Ovis aries: one gene and its partner. The protein of the gene in region 1 purifies or fractionates together with the protein of each later gene. This does not show direct contact. Links are inferred from orthologs where the notes say so. Each region holds a gene or a part of one and is shown in the gene's direction. Other genes may lie near its edges. The genes, in order: VASP and PFN1.

What was found.
Region 2: the proteins of VASP (region 1) and PFN1 purify together in Homo sapiens (affinity purification with western blotting; 3 studies listed by BioGRID and IntAct, with this or other methods). This does not show direct contact. The link is inferred for Ovis aries from reciprocal best matches to the Homo sapiens genes VASP and PFN1.

The regions. Positions count from the first base shown.
Region 1 is NC_056067.1:52,895,767-52,904,219, forward strand, and holds part of VASP (vasodilator-stimulated phosphoprotein), read left to right. Parts: intron 1-3,600; coding exon 3,601-3,772; intron 3,773-3,855; coding exon 3,856-4,021; intron 4,022-5,086; coding exon 5,087-5,180; intron 5,181-5,678; coding exon 5,679-5,728; intron 5,729-5,848; coding exon 5,849-6,090; intron 6,091-6,225; coding exon 6,226-6,326; intron 6,327-6,857; coding exon 6,858-6,909; intron 6,910-7,070; coding exon 7,071-7,107; intron 7,108-7,328; coding exon 7,329-7,374; intron 7,375-7,527; coding exon 7,528-7,618; intron 7,619-8,151; coding exon 8,152-8,209; intron 8,210-8,333; coding exon 8,334-8,371; 3' UTR 8,372-8,453. UniProt on the Homo sapiens protein: Ena/VASP proteins are actin-associated proteins involved in a range of processes dependent on cytoskeleton remodeling and cell polarity such as axon guidance, lamellipodial and filopodial dynamics, platelet activation and cell migration.
Region 2 is NC_056064.1:26,321,011-26,330,052, forward strand, and holds PFN1 (profilin-1), read left to right. Parts: upstream 1-4,130; 5' UTR 4,131-4,284; coding exon 4,285-4,416; intron 4,417-5,856; coding exon 5,857-6,049; intron 6,050-6,676; coding exon 6,677-6,774; 3' UTR 6,775-7,027; downstream 7,028-9,042. Other genes in the region: ENO3 (beta-enolase), read right to left, coding at 372-467, 746-832, 2,020-2,035; E3 ubiquitin-protein ligase RNF167, read right to left, coding at 7,700-7,998, 8,077-8,157, 8,783-8,876, 9,018-9,042. UniProt on the Homo sapiens protein: Binds to actin and affects the structure of the cytoskeleton. At high concentrations, profilin prevents the polymerization of actin, whereas it enhances it at low concentrations. By binding to PIP2, it inhibits the formation of IP3 and DG.

The DNA.
Region 1 (8,453 bases):
AGGGTTTGTGGGAGAGTTCTGGGCTGACTGGGGATTCAGACTGTCTCATGTCAAACTGAGGCTGTGAGACCCCAGTGTCGAGTAGAAAGTGTTAGTTGCTCAGTGGTGTCTGACTGTTTGCGACCCCATGGAGCCCGCCAGGCTCCTCTGTCATGGGATTTCCCAGGCAGGAATACTGGAGTGGGTAGCTATGCCCTTCTCCAAGGGATCTTCCCAACCCAGGGATCAAACCTGTGTCTCCTGCATTGCAGGCAGATTCTTTACCATCTGAGCCACCAGGGAAGCCCCCAGAGACCACTGGAATTAAGCAGACCTTATTTGCATCTCATTCCCGGCTTCCTGGCTGTGAGATTTTTCCGATCTAGCTTTTTGTCTGGTTTATAGGTGTTTTTTTGGTTGTTGTTGTTTTTCTTAAGTAATGGATTAATTTTTTATAGGTAAAACAAAGCAAAAAGATAAGACATAATCAAGCAACTCAAGTAGGTAAACAGTGCGAACTGTCCACTTCCTGCCTTCCTCGTCAGACCCCTGGTGTCCCAGTGCCTCAGAGGCAAGCAGGGGAGGCTAGTCCCCTGAGAAGCAACCTCTGCTTTTCACCACTCTGGGTGCAGAGGTATTTATATCCTCCCCAGCTTTTTTTTAAAAAAAAAAAACAAAAACCTCTCACACCACTTTATACCTTGCCTTAAAAAAAAAAAAATCAGCTTAGCTATTTCCTCATCGTTAAATGAGGTTAAGAACATTGGGGGTGGGGAAGATCAGGACTTGGGTTCAAATATGAGCCCCTCTGCTTGTTTGCTCTGTGACCTGGGATGACTGTCTTCACCCCTCTGTGGCCACAGTTCCTTGTCTGGAAAAAGGGTGTTCACAGTAAGGTTCGCTGTGGCAGCTGGAGCTCAGTACCTGGAACGGTGTCTGGGACACAGACTAACCAATACATGTCAGCGGCTGTTAAAAAAAAAAAACCTTTTTTTATAGACGGCTAATTTAACAACTCCTGGATACCTGCTAGGTTCTAGGCACGAGTCTAGGTTCTGAGAACACAGTAGTGAACAGAAAAGGCAAAAATCCCTGCCCTTGTGGTCCTGACAGTTTGATGGGGGAGACAGATAAGGCCCTGTCAGTCAGGGATTGGGTGTTATGAAACACCCAACGGTGTTTGCAGTGAGAGCTTTCCCAGGTAGGGTAGTCAGGGAGGGCTCCTCGGAAGAGGTGATGGCTACGCAGAGGCCTGAAGGAGGTGAAAATCCAGGTTGAGGGAGAACGAGAGCACAGCCCTGAGGTGGGAATGTGTCTGGCATGCTGAAGTGTTGGCTAGAATGGCCGGTGGGGCCGGTCGAGGGGAGATCAGAGATCATACAGATTATGAAGGCCCCAGAGAGAACTTGGCCAGAATAAAAACTCTGCTGGGAGCTGCCAGCGGAGCTTCCAAGAAGAGGAGAGACGCGATCTGACTTGTGTTTCAACAGGACCCTTTTGCTAGAATGGGGATACCGTGGCTTGGAGAGGGACAAGACCAGTCCGGGGTTACTCACCAAACACCCAGAGCTCAGGCTAGTCCAGAGACTGAGCAGGGCAGGGGCTCTTGGAAAGAGCAAAGTGCAGCTAGGGTGGGGTAGCAACGAAGGCCCTGGGCAGCTGGCCAGAGTCTGCCCTGGGTGTGGGTGGCAGGTGTGGGCGAGGCCTTAACCCTGCCCTGCCGGGGGCAGTGGAAGCCAGAAACAGCCCCTGAGGCTACGCTTGTCTAGAACCAGCACCTGGTGTTTGGGTAGGGCCCACACAGTCCCCAGTGGTGAAGACAGTGGACTTGGGGGCCAGGTGGCCTGGGTTCAGATCCTCGCTCTGCTAGGTGAGTCACACAACCTCTCTGTGCCACTGTTTGCAGTCCTTGCAGAATGAGGATGAAACAGCCCACCTGGAAGAGCTGCAGTGAGAATAAAATGTGAGACTCCAGAGAAAGGGCAGAGGGAGGCCCCCTAATTATGCAAACCTGGGGGCTTAGCTCCCTGGCCTAAGAACTCGGATCTGGGTCAGCTGAGGGGGCTTTCCCTGCCTTGTCTTTTATAGTGTCACTGTCACGCTCCAGCCCCCAGCCCTGGTAGAGACAGAGCCATTGCGGGGTGTAATTTCTCTCCCCAGAAACCTCTGACCACCAACTTCCTCTTTTCAGGAAAAAGTCCGGTGGGGGTGGGGCTGGGCAGGGACTAGTGCTTCCCCCTGGTTTGTGGGTGACCTTGGCCAAGTCACTTCCCGTCTGGGAGCCTGAATTTCCCCACTGAGAGAGGAGGGCATTGAACCTTCCCAGAAGGACTGGTGAGGGGTGGAGGAGGGCTCCTTGGTGCCTGTTCAGAGTGCTTGGGGAAGGGATGCTGACAGTTACTCAGCACTCATGCCAGGCACCACGCCAAGCACTCTACATGCCCAGACTCATTTACTTCTCCCACTGCCCTGGGAGGTGGGGTCTGTCATTTCCCCAGTTTGCGGGCAAAGAAGATGCCTTCTGTGGGAAGGTTGCTCGCCTGAGTCACATGGAGTAGGTGGCCCAGCGGGGATTTGAACCTACGTCTGAGGATATCAGATCCTGAACCCTGAGCTGCGTTACTCAGCCCCCTCCCCACAGGGCTAAGTCAGATGTCACCTCCTCCAGGAAATCTTCTCTGATCCAAAGGCTGGGGCAGGCCCTCCTGGGCAGCCCCAGGCCTGGTCTTGGATTATCACCATGTGCGGACAGGACAGTCCCTTGCGATGCTCTCCTGCCCTGCAGGGTGGGGGCTGGGGCTGTCTGGGTCACTGCTGGACACAGAGCAGGGAGTGTCTGCTGATGGCCGTTGGTGCCAGGGGGCGGGGGAGGGTGGGTGGTGCCGGATGGATGGGGTGGGCAGCAGGAAGGGGAAGAGCCTGGGATCTTGCATCGGTCCCCAACTTGCTGCAAGCCTCACCCTTCACCTCCCTGAGCCTCAGCTTCCTCCCTCCACAGTGGGGAGTCGGGGCAGGAAGGTCCAAGCCTCCTGGCAGAGACAGGGAAACTGAGGCTCCAAGGGCATCGGGCAGGGGCTTGTTCCCAATGCTGCCCAGGACACCTGCTCTGTCCCTTGCATCCGCTTCTCCCGGGCCCCCCCCCATCAGCTCTCACGCCACATCTCTGTCTCTCGGTCCATCTCAGTCCGCCTCCCCTGTAACAATCTGACCCCCTTTCTTACCTCTCTCCCCGTCATCAGTCTGTATGTTTGCCTCTTCCAGCCGGTCTGACTCGTCCTCTTCCTGTCTCTTGCTCCCCGTTTGACTGTCTGTCTCTTTCCTTGTCTGTCTCACATCCCCCGGTTTGTCTATTTGTCTGTCTCTCCCAGTCTGTCTTTTGTCGTCCCACCCGTCTTTTTCTTCTCCAGTCTCCCTGTCTGGGTCTCTCTGAGGGCCTGTCCTCAGCCCTCTCTCTCGGTCTGTCTTCCTCTTCCTCTCCTTGGGTCCCTCTTCCTGGCACACTGACTTTGTGTCTGTGAATCTCCCAGGGGAACGAGAAGGTGACCGGCCCCTGGGGGGAGGATGCCAGGCTCCCCAGAGCTAACTGGCCTCTCCCCCTTGCCCCCGCCCGCCTCTCTGCAGCGAGACGGTTGTGTGCACCAGCCGGGCCACGGTGATGCTCTATGATGACAGCAACAAGCGCTGGCTGCCCGCCGGCACGGGCCCGCAGGCCTTCAGCCGCGTCCAGATCTATCACAACCCCACCGCCAACTCCTTCCGGGTGGTCGGCCGCAAGATGCAGCCGGACCAGCAGGTGAGGCTCCCCTCCTCCTCGCCCCCTCTGCCTGCGGGGCCTCACCACCCCCATCCACTTCTCCCCTCCCTGCCTCCCGCCAGGTGGTCATCAACTGTGCCATCGTCCGAGGTGTCAAGTATAACCAAGCCACCCCCAACTTCCACCAGTGGCGCGATGCCCGGCAAGTCTGGGGCCTCAACTTTGGCAGCAAGGAGGATGCCACGCAGTTTGCCAATGGCATGGCCAGCGCCCTAGAGGCCTTGGAAGGTTAGAGACAGTGGGCGGAGGGGACCGTTGAGCCCTGCCGTGGGGCCTGGGGCTGCCCCTTTACCACTCGGCCTCAGTATACTCATCTGAAAACAGGGCCCATTCACTGCTGCTACGGAGAGTTTCTGGGCTGGCCGGAAAGCTCATTCAGGTTTTTCCAATGCTACGGAGAAATCCAAATAGGTTTTTTTCGCCAACCCAATTTTGTGGGCTCCTCTTTGCCCTGCGTGCACCCACGTGTCAAACGCATGGTTCCTAAGAGCCCATTTGGCTCCGTGAATTTTTACACTTGCGCACTCCTTTGTGACCACCTCCCAGATCAAGATAGAAATATTTCAGGCCTCCGGGAGGTTTCCTTTGCCCTTTCTCCAGGTAACCATTAGACTGACTGACATCATTGTCAGTCAGTTTTCAAGCCACAATGTTAAGAAAATACTTCCAGTTGGTATTTCTTAAACTGGAATGTGCCTGCGAGTCATCTAAGAAAAAATGCAGATTCTGAATCAGGTAGGTGGGCCAAGACCGGAGCCTCTGTGCTTCCCAACAAGCTCCCTGATGATGCCAGAGCTGACCGGTCCATAAGGAGCACTTTGAGGAGCAACGGTTTTAGGTGACGGCTGTGCGTCTAGGTTCGCCAGTTGTCAAATGGTGGAGGCATTTGCTTCCAAGGGCAACTGCAGTGGCAGTCTGAAGCACAAGAAATAACGGGAGCCGGAGGCCTGAGGCTGGGTGAGGAGGGGGCTGTCAGCCTCTTCTGAGCTCTCAGGTAGGGGGTCTGAGCAGCTGTGACTGTGCGTTAAGAGCCTGGATTCTGGAATCTGCCTGAATTCAAGTCTTGTCCCTGCCAATTCCCATCTGCAGGCCTTGGGGTGGGTGACCCCCTTCTATGGGCCTTCGCTGTCCTGCCTGTGATCTGGGTATCCTTCCAGTGCCCACCACCTGTCAGCTCAGTCAGGGGAAGCGGGAGCCAACCCTCCTCACAGGGTACCCGGAGGCCCCTCGGGAGCGTGCCAAGGGGTGGGGCTGGCTTCTGTGTGACTCACTAGCCTTTACTCTCACTTCCAGGAGGTGGGCCCCCGCCCCCACCACCACCTACAGCGCCTCCCACCTGGTCTGCCCAGAATGGCCCCTCGCCAGAGGAGATGGAGCAGCAGAAAAGGTGGGGCTGGTCCCCGGGTGGGAAACCTTCCCCCAGCCAGAGTTCTAGGTGGTTCCAAAACCCTTGACGCCTAGAGTTCAGACCTGTCCAACTTTCAATTTTCAGAATGTTCCAACTCCCAGGGGACTAGAAATCCACAGCCTTAAGAACCACCCTCCCCGCCTTGGAGTTTGAAAAACTCCTGATGCCCAGAGTTACAGAACCCTTCAAATCCCAATCCCAGTCCCCTGGACTTGCAGAGTCCAGAACGGGGTTGTTTAAAGGATCTTGGGCGTTTTGTGATTCATGATGGTCTGATGACTGGATCGCTCCCATCCCGGTCTTGCCCTGTCCCTGCCCTCACCACCCCACCCCCCAGCCCTTTCCCGGGTCCCTCGGGGATAGAGGACATGAGTGGGGCTTAGGAACCAGCCCTGCCGGACACCTCTGAGGGGCAATCCGGGAGGTTGCTGGCCACCTGGGAGCCCTGGGTGATAGCCACTCGCCCTCCCTCCCCAGGCAGCAGCAGTCAGAGCTCATGGAGCGGGAGCGCAGAGCCTCCAACGCAGGTGATTGCTCAAATGGCCTCGGGGGGTCAGGGGACCGCCCCAGAGGAGGGGGTGGGCCAGCCGGACAGCAAAGCATGAAGCTTCTCTCTCAGCACCCCTCCTGTTTTGTGTTCCTTACAGGAGGCCCGCCTGCTCCCCCAGCTGGGGCACCTCCACCGCCCCCGGGACCTCCCCCTCCTCCAGGTCCACCCCCACCCCCTGGTCTCTCCTCCTCAGGGGTCTCGGCCGCCACACAGGGAGCAGGGGGAGGCCCGCCCCCGGCACCCCCTCTCCCCACAGCACAAGGCCCCAGTGGTGGAGGGACCGGGGCCCCCAGCCTGGCCTCAGCCATTGCCGGCGCCAAACTCAGGAAAGTTAGCAAGGTGAGGGGCAGGCGCAGCGGATGTGGGGTGACGGGTCTGATATAATAATGGAATGAGGCTAGAGTTGCCTGGGAGCCTCACAGGAGGGCTGGGAGGCCCGCCCGTAAAGCCCTCTCTTCTCTGTAATTTCTCCAGCAGGAGGAGGCTTCAGCGGGGCCCGTGGCCCCCAAAGCTGAGAGCAGTCGAAGCACGGGCGGAGGCCTCATGGAGGAGATGAACGCCATGCTGGCCCGGAGGTGAGCCCGAGCTCAGAGCTCTCAATGGTCTTGGAAAGCTCTCAAAACAAACCCCTCAACCCAGCAGTTATCACCTGGAGATTCCGGTTCAGTAGGACCAGGTGTGGGGAGGGCTCAGATTCCTGGTTAGTTTGTTTCGTTGGGTGAAAGTTCATCCTTTGACAGCCAGGTTTGAGATATAATGATGGGGACTGCATTCTCCTGAGATGACTGAGGTTTGCAACCCCCTAGGTAGCCTCTGGAATGTTCTGGAACCCAGAATTGTAGGACCTTAGATGACCCCACCTCAGAAGCTGGGGACTCTGCCCTGAGAATTTTGTGATTCCCAAATGTAGGAATCCTAAACGCCACCCCCACCCCCTCATTCGAGAACAGCACTCTCTTTGACTTCTAAAATTAAAATGTGCTTAGCCTTGATGAATTCCAGAAGTCGGCACCCTAGGACCCACTTTTCCAGAACTCTGGGGAAGGGAACTATTGAGTGGCTGAGAGGGGACAGAAGCCATCTGTTTCTGCCTTTCTCTCTCACAGAAGGAAAGCCACGCAAGTTGGAGAGAAACCCACCAAGGATGAATCTGCCAATGTGAGTTAGGGACCCTTCCTGCCTTATACACCTTAGGATGTACCATTAGAGTAGGAATATTGGGGCGGGGGCTGTGATAGGGATTGGCTGTGTTTGAAGGTGGAGGAAGAAAAGGAGCAGAATGGCCATGTCTGGCTCATGACAGTTTTATTTCCCACCAGCAGGAGGAGTCAGACGCCAGAGTCCCAGCCCACAGTGGTGAGTGAGTGAGAGCCCCCTCTAGTCACAGGAACTACAAGTCCCAGGATGCCCTCTTCTCATGTATAACACACCTTCATGGGAGAGTCTGTACAGATAATCCTGGGGATTGTAGTCTCCTGAGATGGTTCTTTGAATGGGGGTTGATGAGGCTCGGGAAGAAAGGCTGAGGCAGGGCATTCCTTGTTCCTGATCTTTTTGACTTATTGTCTGTCCCCCAGAATCTGTGCGGAGACCCTGGGAGAAGAACAGCACAACCTTGCCAAGGTGGGCCATCAGTACTGGGGCCCCACCCCTAGAAAGAGTCGGACTTGCCAAGTTTGTAGGGAGGAACACAGAGTGACCCCTGGAATGGGAGGCAGGGGAGGCAGACCCTCTCTCTAACCTTGTTTCTGCCCCACACCACGCCACCTCTCCCAGGATGAAGTCGTCGTCTTCAGTGGCCACTTCCGAGGCCCACCCACCTACGCCTAGCTCCAGTGATGAGTCAGACCTGGAGAGGGTGAAACAGGTAGGGGAGGGGACTGGGGGTGAGGGTTAGGGGATAGAAAGATCTGGGTCTAGACTCTGCCACTGACCTGCTATGTGATTCTAGAAAAGGCCTTGGAACCCTCAGCTTCCCAGTCTGAGTACTGGAGAAATTGGATCGTGTCAGGGATGACAGACCCCATAACCGCCTTGTACAACGCCCATGACAGACCTTGCTAACATCACTACACTCATTCCTGGTGAATATCCAGAATCCTTTTCCGCACACTGGCCGCAGACATTTATCGCCAACCGGAGTTGGCAGGAGACTGGAATGTCTCATTTGCCAGCCCTGGTACTGGATGTTCTCCATTGCTTTTCTCTCTGGTTCAGAGGATCCAGAATTCTCCTCTAGAAATCTCAGTCACTTTGTGGCCTGGCCAGTGATGTCATGGTGTGTGTGCGATACGGGTCTTGACCCTCCTTCCTCTGGCCCCTCAGTCATTAAGAAACTGGGGATTCACTTCTGCAAGTCCAGGTACTCTTCCTCATTGGTTGTACCCCCATCATTTTCAGGAGCTTCTGGAAGAGGTGAGGAAGGAATTGCAGAAAGTGAAAGAGGAAATAATTGAAGGTGAGGTGTTTTCCTTTTTAAGCATTTATTTATTTTGGAGGCATGGTGTCCCTTGGAACCTTGTTTTGGAAGGGAGAAGGGGAAGAGGCTCTGCCCCTGACCTCTGCCCACTGTTTCCTTCCAGCCTTTGTCCAGGAGCTGAGGAAGCGGGGTGCCCCCTGACCACAGGGCCCCAGAAAATCCAGTTTCTCCTTTCTGCATACCCCCTCCACCTGTCACCCTGCTTTCCCTGCCTCGACTTGGA
Region 2 (9,042 bases), on another chromosome or scaffold:
CCGCAAAGCAGGGGGTTCAGATCTCCTATGCAATCAGGTCTCTTCCCGAGGCCCCCAGCTCCTGGAGAACTTTCAGTTTCCCTTCTTCTTCCGATGCCCAACCTTTTTGGCACCAGGGACCAATTTCATGGAAGACAGTTTTTGCATGGACCAGGCATGGGGTAGGGGTATGGGATGGTTTCCATATGATCCAAGTGCATTCTACTTATTGTGCACTTTATTTCTAATCTAATGTTGCCAGTGATCTGACAAGAGGTACCAGTCCGTGCCCTGGAGTTTGGGGACCCCTTCTCTACCTTATGCAGACATTTCATGCCACATCCTGAAAGCCCCCCTCACATATGGCTCCTCCAGCCTTGGTCTTTCCTCACCTTTCCCCAGGTAGCGAGACTTGTCTCCATCTCTTAGTTCCAGAGCTTCATAGATACCTGTGGAAGCGCCACTGGGCACAGCTGCTCGGAATCGGCCTGGGATGGGAGGAATTGGAAGATCACAGAGAATCCCATTCACCTCCAAAGGGCCGAGGTCTCCTCTTGGAACCCAGAGACAGGGGGCAGTGTAGAGAGACCATGGCTCCTCACTGTGGGGTGGGGGGGGCGGAGTCAAGCTGGAAGAGCAAGGCTTGGGGAGAAGTCTGGAGAAGGGGATTCCAGAGAAAAGAGTGGATGTGGCATGCAGCTGGGGGGCAAAGGCAGATGGAGTTGGGGGTCTTCCCAGGTAAACCAGTTCAATAGCCCTGGGTTACCCTTGGCCGTGTGCAGGTCCACCTCCACAGTGGGGTTGCCCCTGGAGTCCAGGATTTCCCGGGCAAAGATTTTCTGCATGGCCATGGCTGCAGGGTGAGAGGTGTGAGTAAGTGTGGACAGCTGATCCCTTAAGGAACCCCAAATCCCTTGCCCTTTAAGAGTCTTCCCCACCCCAAGGAGGCAGGTGCTGGAGCTAAAAATACCTCACAAAAAGGTCACAGACCAAAGTGGCAGGCACAGCCCCCTCCCCCACTCAGAACAGCTCCTATTCCACCCTCCCATCCTCAGAATATGGGGCCTCTCTTTTAAAACTCCACCACTTGCTGAACCCCATCTCCCACAAAGCTGCACTATGCCTTCTCCCTCCACCCCCTGGCCAAATACTCTGTTTTCCATGGCTTCCTAGCCTTTAAAGCCTCTCCTGTTACTCTACCTCACTTTTCCTGCTCCTCAGCCTTCTCCAAATCCTCAGGGGGCCCAAATTCCACCACCTGGCTCCAACTCTAACTCCCCTTCTCCGTCATCTCTGTATGCCTCTCTTCACAGTCTCGTTTTCCTATCCTTGGGTACCCCCATCCTGTATGCTCCAACTCCTCCAGGATTCTTAAGCACAAGCTGACATTTCCCCCAGGCCAGCACAGCCCTCATCCTTTACCACCCCCATCCCCTGGGGCTGGAAGATTCACCAGACCTGGGATGTCTTCGCTGGGCTCTAAGTCTAGGTGGCAGCTGGGACAGTGTCAGCTCACCCCCTCTCAGGCCGGGAATTTATCCTGGAGCCACCCTGTACCCCAGCCAGCCCCGCCTCTCCCCCTCTCCATCCTCCCCCTGAAGCCAGGCTGGCAGCCAAGTGCCCACTACAGCCTAAAGCAGCAGCTTTTGGCCCTAGGCACCTGCCCCCTTCCCAAAAGGTCAATGACTATCCCCTCCTTTCTCTGTTCTCCAATAAAAGTCCTTATTTTTAATTCCGTTCCTGGGCAGAAAGAGGAGAGGGGCTTCAGAATTGGGGGGAGGGGTCTCTCCCCGTGTCAGGATTGTATTCCTCTTTTGCAAAGGTTAAAGAGGAACTAGTGCCCTTTAGGAAAGGCCAAGGGTAACCTGAGCCCTACAGGGCTGGGGAGGGGGCCTGGAAAAGGGGCTGCAGGAGTGACATCCATAGCTCACTTGGCGGGCGGGGGACTGCCTCTGTCCTCAATGGGAGCTGGGGAGGGGGTTCCGGCCGAGAGCAGAGCTCTAAATTGAACTGCCCACTCAGAAGGCGAGAGGGTCTCACCTCTCAGGGTCCTCATGGCGGTCTCTCTCCGCTCCACCCCATCCTACCCTCTCCAGGCCGGCGAGGGGAGTGGGGGAGGGGGGGAGACAGACGAATTTAGACAGGCCCTAGGAGTTGGCGCGGCGCCCTGCTGATAGCGCTGGGACAGCACTTATCGCCGGCGTGGAAGCTGTCAGTCAGAAGCCCTTTCTCCACCGATCGCGACTGCTGGCGCTTTAGGGCGTGATCCCAGCCCATCAATGAATGGTGCTGAATCAAAAGTGACCCCCCAAAAAATGAATGGACAGAAGGTGAAGTGCCCCTTTCTGAGCGTCTGACCGCCGGGGGCCAATCGGGTGGGCCTCTAGCACGGCGGGGAAGTGGGTCTCTGCAGTCTGTGACTCTCTCCGTCTCAGTGGGTGCGGCGCAAGTAAAGTCAGCCCTGACTTTGGCTGCAGCTCCGGCCAGGAGCGGAGGGCATGCGGGTTTCAAGCCGGCTGGCCGGCCGGCGGGCGAGGGTCACCGGCTTCTCGGCTCTTCGCCCCGGACTCAGGAGACCTAGCCTGCCGGCGCCTGAGCGGCCGGCGCCCGGTGACTCACCCCCAAGCTCTCTCCCGAGCTCCCCTCCCCGCCCTGCCCCGCGGTGTGTCTCCCAGCCTTCTCGCCACCCCCCACCCCCTTATCTCTGGCCGCTCCCTCTCGGGAGATTTCCACCCTGGGGTAGGGGGTGCGGTAGGCCAGAGGTCAGGATGGCGGGCGGGGAGCGCCGCCACGTGCCCGCCTGCGGCCCCGCCCGAGTTGGCCAGTGACTCAGCCGCGGCGGCTGTCGAGGAACACTGGTTCGGGGGGCGTCGGGTGCTCCGTGGGTTCCGAGTGGCCGCGCCCGCTACGGAGGACAGGAGGGAAACGAAGCCCCTTCGCGCCCGGGAGCCGCCCCTCCCCCGAGGGACCGGAAGCGGCCTAGCCCCTCAGCGGCCCCGGCGGCCAGCGCGAGCTAGAGTCACCTAAGCCGGACTCCAGGTCCTGCCCCACCCGCTTCCCGGTGGATAGCCAGCGAACTCATCGCACACAAGTTCTTAGCTTAAGTTTTACTGAAAAAGAACAAGAAAAACCCAAAAGGGCAAAGTTGAAGGGACTTTCCTCCTCTTGAAAAAGTTGCAATCTTGAGAAACCGCTTAGTATTCTTCCGCCTTGGAAAATAGGCCCGCCCGTCTGGCCCCACGGTGCTCAATGACCTCTGCAGACACGGGCCAAGGGGCACAGCCGGTGACCCAAACTGCTGACCGGGGTTCGGGCAGGGCTGGGACGTGGAGTGAGGAATGAGGCTGGAGCCGATCCAGTGAGTCACAACCCCCTGGAGTCGAGGTGGGCTCCAGTGAGTACCGCTTGTGCCGCCCGGGCAGATGCTGGGGACAGAAGTGTCCCTGGTGGGTGCCTTCAATTCTGAAGACGGCCGGGGGTATTTGGTCTAATTTCCTTTTACTACCTTATTTCTTGAATAAATAAAATCAAGAGGGCAGAAGCGGCCAGGCACACGCCACGCCTCGCCTCCGCCCCTTCCGCCCGGCGGGAGACACGTCCCCGGCCTGCCTGCCCTCACCGAGGGTCCAAATCAGTCCCGCTTGGCGCGCCCGGGCGCGCGCCCGCGAAGCCCGCCGTCTGCCCTAACCGCCCCACGCGCTTTCCCTCTCGGCCCCGGCGCAGGCGCGGGCGCACGCGCCCCGCCGCCGCCCGCCGTTCCTGCCCCCGGCAGAGGTGGGGGAAGGGGGAGTCGTTCTGTTTAACCCTGAGTTACCCGAATCCTCTTTAATTTGCTAAATTTGCAGTTTGCTAATTCTTACTTCTTTCACTTTCCTTCTTCCCTGTGGCTCACTACCTTTCCTTCCACTAAAGTCTGATAGTTTAGGCGGAGTGGAGCGGGCCCTAACCTTAACCCATCCCCACCCACCCCGATTCTTTTTGCCTCGCTTTCCATCGAACTCTGCAAATTTTGCAATAGGGGGAGGGATTTTTTAAAATGCATTTGCAAAGTTCGGTATCTGGGCAGGAGAGGGGAGGGAGAGAGGGAGTGGGGAGCAAGCCCCGCCCCCACCGCCCTTTGCAAATAAAAATCTAGGGGGGTGGGGAGGAGCAGGAAGTGGCGGTGCGAGGGCTGCTGCACAGCTAGCAGAGCCGCGGTCCGGACGGCAGCGCGTGCCCCAAGCTCTCCGTCTTCCCCCGCCCGCCAGCCCGAGCCCAGCCCGCGGCCCCAGCAGCAGCCCCGAGAGCAGCCCCAATAGCAGCGCCATGGCCGGGTGGAACGCCTACATCGACAACCTCATGGCGGACGGGACCTGTCAGGACGCAGCCATCGTGGGCTATAAGGACTCGCCCTCCGTCTGGGCCGCCGTCCCCGGCAAGACCTTCGTCAACATCACGGTACTGAGAGGCCTGCACAGTCCTGGGGACTGGCCCGGCTTGGACCCTGAGGGAGGGACTCGGGTGGGGGCGGGCGCGGTCTGCGGAGGGCGGCGAAAGGCCGTGACCCGGTCCTTGCCCTGGAAGTGGCGCGAATGGCGGCTGCACGTGAGCGGGCCCCTCCATGGCCCCCTGAATCCTCCGCCCCGGGCGGCGGCGCCCAACCCGCCCGCCGCCCCGCTTTCCGCGACGGGGCGTTACATCCGGGGCACGGGGCGGGGAGGGTGCGCCGCCCGGTGCGGCGGCCCACTTCCGCCTCCTCCAGGGCGGGTCGGGCACGCGCCGTAGTTTCTACCCAGGATTTTGATTGAGCAGGGACTTGGGGACCCCGGGACCCCTAGCTCCACTTCCGGCCGCCAGCTCGCGCCCCTTCCACTATTGTTCCTCTGAACCGGGAGGGAGCCCCAGTCGCATGGCCTGGGTCCCTAGCCCGATCTCCGTGGGTTCCCTGCCCCTCCCAACTCCATTAGAGAGGGCTAGGGCGCCACACGACGACCCCCTCCCCGCCAGTCGGCCGGTCGGACTCAGCATTCTTGAGAGACCAGTCCCGGGAGTCCCCTCGCCTTCCCTTCCCGCCATCAGGCAGGGCCTGGAGCAGGGGAACTTTGTGAGAAGTTCTAGGACAGTATAAGTGAAGGAAGAAGGGATGACTGCTGCTGTCCCCATCACCAACTCCCCTGTCCACACTGCCCGGAAGTGGGGAGGGGGAGCGGAAGTTCGAAAGGGGGGGAAGGGGATTTCCGGGCGGGAGGGGACCGGATGTGGGGATTTGGGGTGTAAGGGGGAGGGGAAGATACGTTCCCCGGGGTATCTAGACCCGAGAGCTGGCTGTCGGGTCTAGCCCCAGGCCCCCTCCAAAAGTTCTTCGACTTTCGCTGAATGCCCCAAGGCATCTGCTTGCTCATCTTAGAGCATAGATACCTGAACCTAAACTCTAAGTTACTTAGAGACCCAGGCGTCCGGGCCCCTAACAACTCCTGCAGAACCTTTGACCAAATAAGGGCAAAGTTGCTTCTCCTGCTTTGCCCGCCCCCTCCCTTCCCCTCTTCGCTTCTGCTTTTCCTGAAGGAGAGTTCTGAGCATCCAAGGCTCTCCACTCCATTCTCTTAACTGGTTTTTGGCCCCATTTATTTACTGGGTTTGCTTTCCCTATTAAACGACATCTAAATCGACATCTGAGTCAGAGGACCATGTTGTCCCTTCCTAGTACCATTCTCTAGGTTTCAAGATCATATTTTTGTGCACTTCCAACAATCCTGAGTTTCTCAAATTTCACGAATGTGTACAAAGCACATAACATACACCTTTCACCCCAGGGGGCTTAGCTTCCTTGAGAAATGGAAGACAGGTGAGAACTTTGGTGTATTGACTAACTTGCTGGGTGCTTGGTTCCCTTTTCAGCCTGCTGAGGTCGGTATCCTGGTTGGCAAAGACCGGTCAAGTTTTTTCGTGAATGGGCTAACGCTTGGGGGCCAGAAATGTTCTGTGATCCGGGACTCACTGCTGCAGGATGGAGAATTTACCATGGATCTTCGTACCAAGAGCACCGGTGGAGCCCCAACTTTCAATATCACTGTCACCATGACTGCCAAGAGTGAGTTCTTACCCATTCTCTAGCTCCAAAATCCCTAACGTACCTCCTTTTGTTAATCTTTTGGGTTCTTCTGTGTGGTCACTTAGTATGAAAGGATCAAACCAGGTTTCTACTCCCAGCCTGCTGGATGCTGGGGCATCGAATTGTTCCTCTAGTTCTGTCTCAGTGCCTCACCATACGCCTCACCATACGGTGTAGAGAAGTTGAACTGTATTACCTCTTAAGTTGCTTCTTACCTTGAGCATTTTCAGAGGAGAAACTCCCTGTTTTCTTGGAGGAGGTAAAAGGTTCATTGTAAGTCAGCATTCTGCTCTTGTCTTTTGAGCTCTTTTGTGAAAACTTGGAGGTGGCCGGCTCATCCACAGCCATTTCTAGCCTGAACACATGAGTCAACAGTCCAGGAGCCTTTGACCCCTAAATTTTACTGTGCTCCTTTCCAGCCTTTAAGCTTGATTTTCCCCTTTTGAAAAGACCTATTGTTTCAGGGTGACTGACAGCCTGCCTGTGTGTGGGGGGTTGGGAGAGATGAGGTTGGGTTACAGCCCCCAGGGTTGGACAGCTGCTGAACAGCTGGCAGGGGGTGGGGTGGTGACACCTGGGTCCTAGCCTCCTTTCTCTTTCCTCCAGCGCTAGTCCTGCTGATGGGCAAAGAAGGTGTCCACGGCGGTATGATCAACAAGAAATGTTATGAAATGGCTTCTCACCTGCGGCGTTCCCAGTACTGACCTCGTCTGGCCCTCCCCTCACCACTCCCCACTGCTTTTGCACCCCTCTCCTTCCCACACACATACATACACCATTTTTATTTTTTGGGCCATTACCCCACACCCCTTATTGCTGCCAAAACCACATGGGCTGGGGGCCTGGGCTGGATGGACAGACATCCCCTGCCCCCAACCCGTACCCCTCCTGTGTGTGGTTGGAAAACTTTTTTGTTTTTTGGGTTTTTTTTCTGAATAAAAAAGATTCTACTAACAAGGTGCTGTGTGGTTTTAGCCTGGGTGTCAGGATGGAAGACAGCTCTTGTGACCTGTCTCCTTTATCCTGGCTTGGGGTTAGAAGCGGCAGGAGAGTTTAGGAAATACAAAGTCTAAGATTTTGAGCTTCTTGCTTTCATGTCCAGGATTAAACACCTGGCCAGATTGGCCAGGCCTTCTCCAATAACATATCCAGCCCTAGGTTCCCAGTGTGCTAGCTAGATGAATTGGTGGATAATGGAACAGAGCCATCCAGACCAGAGAATGGGTCCAGGCCTGTGGGCAAGGCAGAGCCAGTTGAGTCATCTTCATGTGTGGGTGGGGCTCTCCCTCTCTGAGTCACAACAGATGCCTACTGGGGCTGTCCCCAAGACGGCAGGTTAGCCTCCCCTCCCCGCACACCCCTGTATGGTAGAAAGGGGCAGTTCCCCAAAAGATAATACATTTCCCTGTGTGAGAATGATCTCACCCTTCCTTAGTCCACAAAAACAGTTTTATTAACCCAGTAAGTGAAGACCCTGTCCCTTTGTACCCCGAACCCCTTCAAAAGGATGGAGCTGGGTAAGGGGAGAAATCTGGGGTGGAAGTATTTCCTATCCCTCAAAACTAGAAGACTGGAGAGAGCAAGAGGGGCTGTGCAAACAGGTCATCAGAGGTGGTGCGGAAGGGAGTATTAAACCAGGATGGCAGCTGAAGAGGTAGAGGGTGAGGGGTCTGTTGAAGACCCAGGAAAGACAAGGGGTGCTGGAGCTAGAGAGCCAAAGGAGGAGGGAGGTGTGGGGCTGGAGCCCAGAAGAGGGGTCCGTTCTGAGGCAGGCTGGTCCCTTGGCTCCCCTTCCTCATCACCCTCTTGTCCCTGGGTTTCTTCCTCCTGCTCATCATCCCCAGGACCCCGATGCACAGGCTGCTTGCAGATGGGGCAGGTCTTCCGGGTTTGAGTGAGCCAGGGGTCCACACAGCGGCTGTGATAAGCTGCCAAGAGGAATGAGGTAAAGCACCTGATGCCTGCTAGGGGCCTGGGGACATGGGCACAGGAAGTGAGGGCCTCACCGTGAGCACAGGGGAGTACCCTCAGCTTGTCCCCATCCTCATATTCATCCAGGCAGATGGCACACACATCATACTGGTCTCCTAGTGGAAGAAGAAAGTTTTTACAGAACCATTCTAAACCAGGGCCCACAGGAAGTCACTCTGGGAGGCCTGTGCTAAACCTGCAAGATATTTTTCTATCTCTAAAGAGCCAGAGGAAGAGCTAAGATGAGCAGGGTGGAACATGAGGAATCTGGGGTTAGAAGGCACAAGCAAAGAGAAGCAGAGGTAAGAAGGGAAGTGGGTTTTCTGGGGGTTAGTGTTAGTGGAGAGATAGTGAGTGGGAGGAGAGGAAGTGGGGCGGGGCTTCTGCCATAGCCTTATAAGGGCATTGGAGGCTCCAGGCCTGAAGACCCAGCCCCTTCTTACCTGTGCCTGCCTTCTCTGGCAGCATCTTCCCCGCTCCTATTTTTCTGCTTCATCCACCTTCTCTCTTACGAGAAAGGTCCTCCATCTTTCCCCCTCCCCCCAACTATTCCATTTAATCATCTTTGTTTTCCATCTCCTGCTCTAAACCTGTTCTGTCCTTTTATGTACGGCTTTAAAAAGGAAAGATGGCATCTCAAACTGACATCTCCCTGCCATCTCTGCCCCTTATCTCCTGGGCTTCAACTCCATCAGAACCAGGTAAGTGGTGGGAAAGGCCTGCTCCTCTAACCCTCCTCACCCTTCTGATAGTCATGTGTAGGGATCTGTTTCAGCTGCTCTTTGGTCAGTCGATTCCGCTGGAGCCGTTTCCTATGCTGGATGCAACGAACTATCTGGTGAAAGGGAGTGGATGCATCAGTCTTAGAAGAAATCTGGACAATCCAGTATAAACCATCCCTGTCTTGCAACCCCAGAGCCAATCTGGCTTTAAAATCTGGCCTTGACTCTCCCATCTTGGTCCCTGAGCTACTCACCATCACTGCTCCCATGGCCAAAACC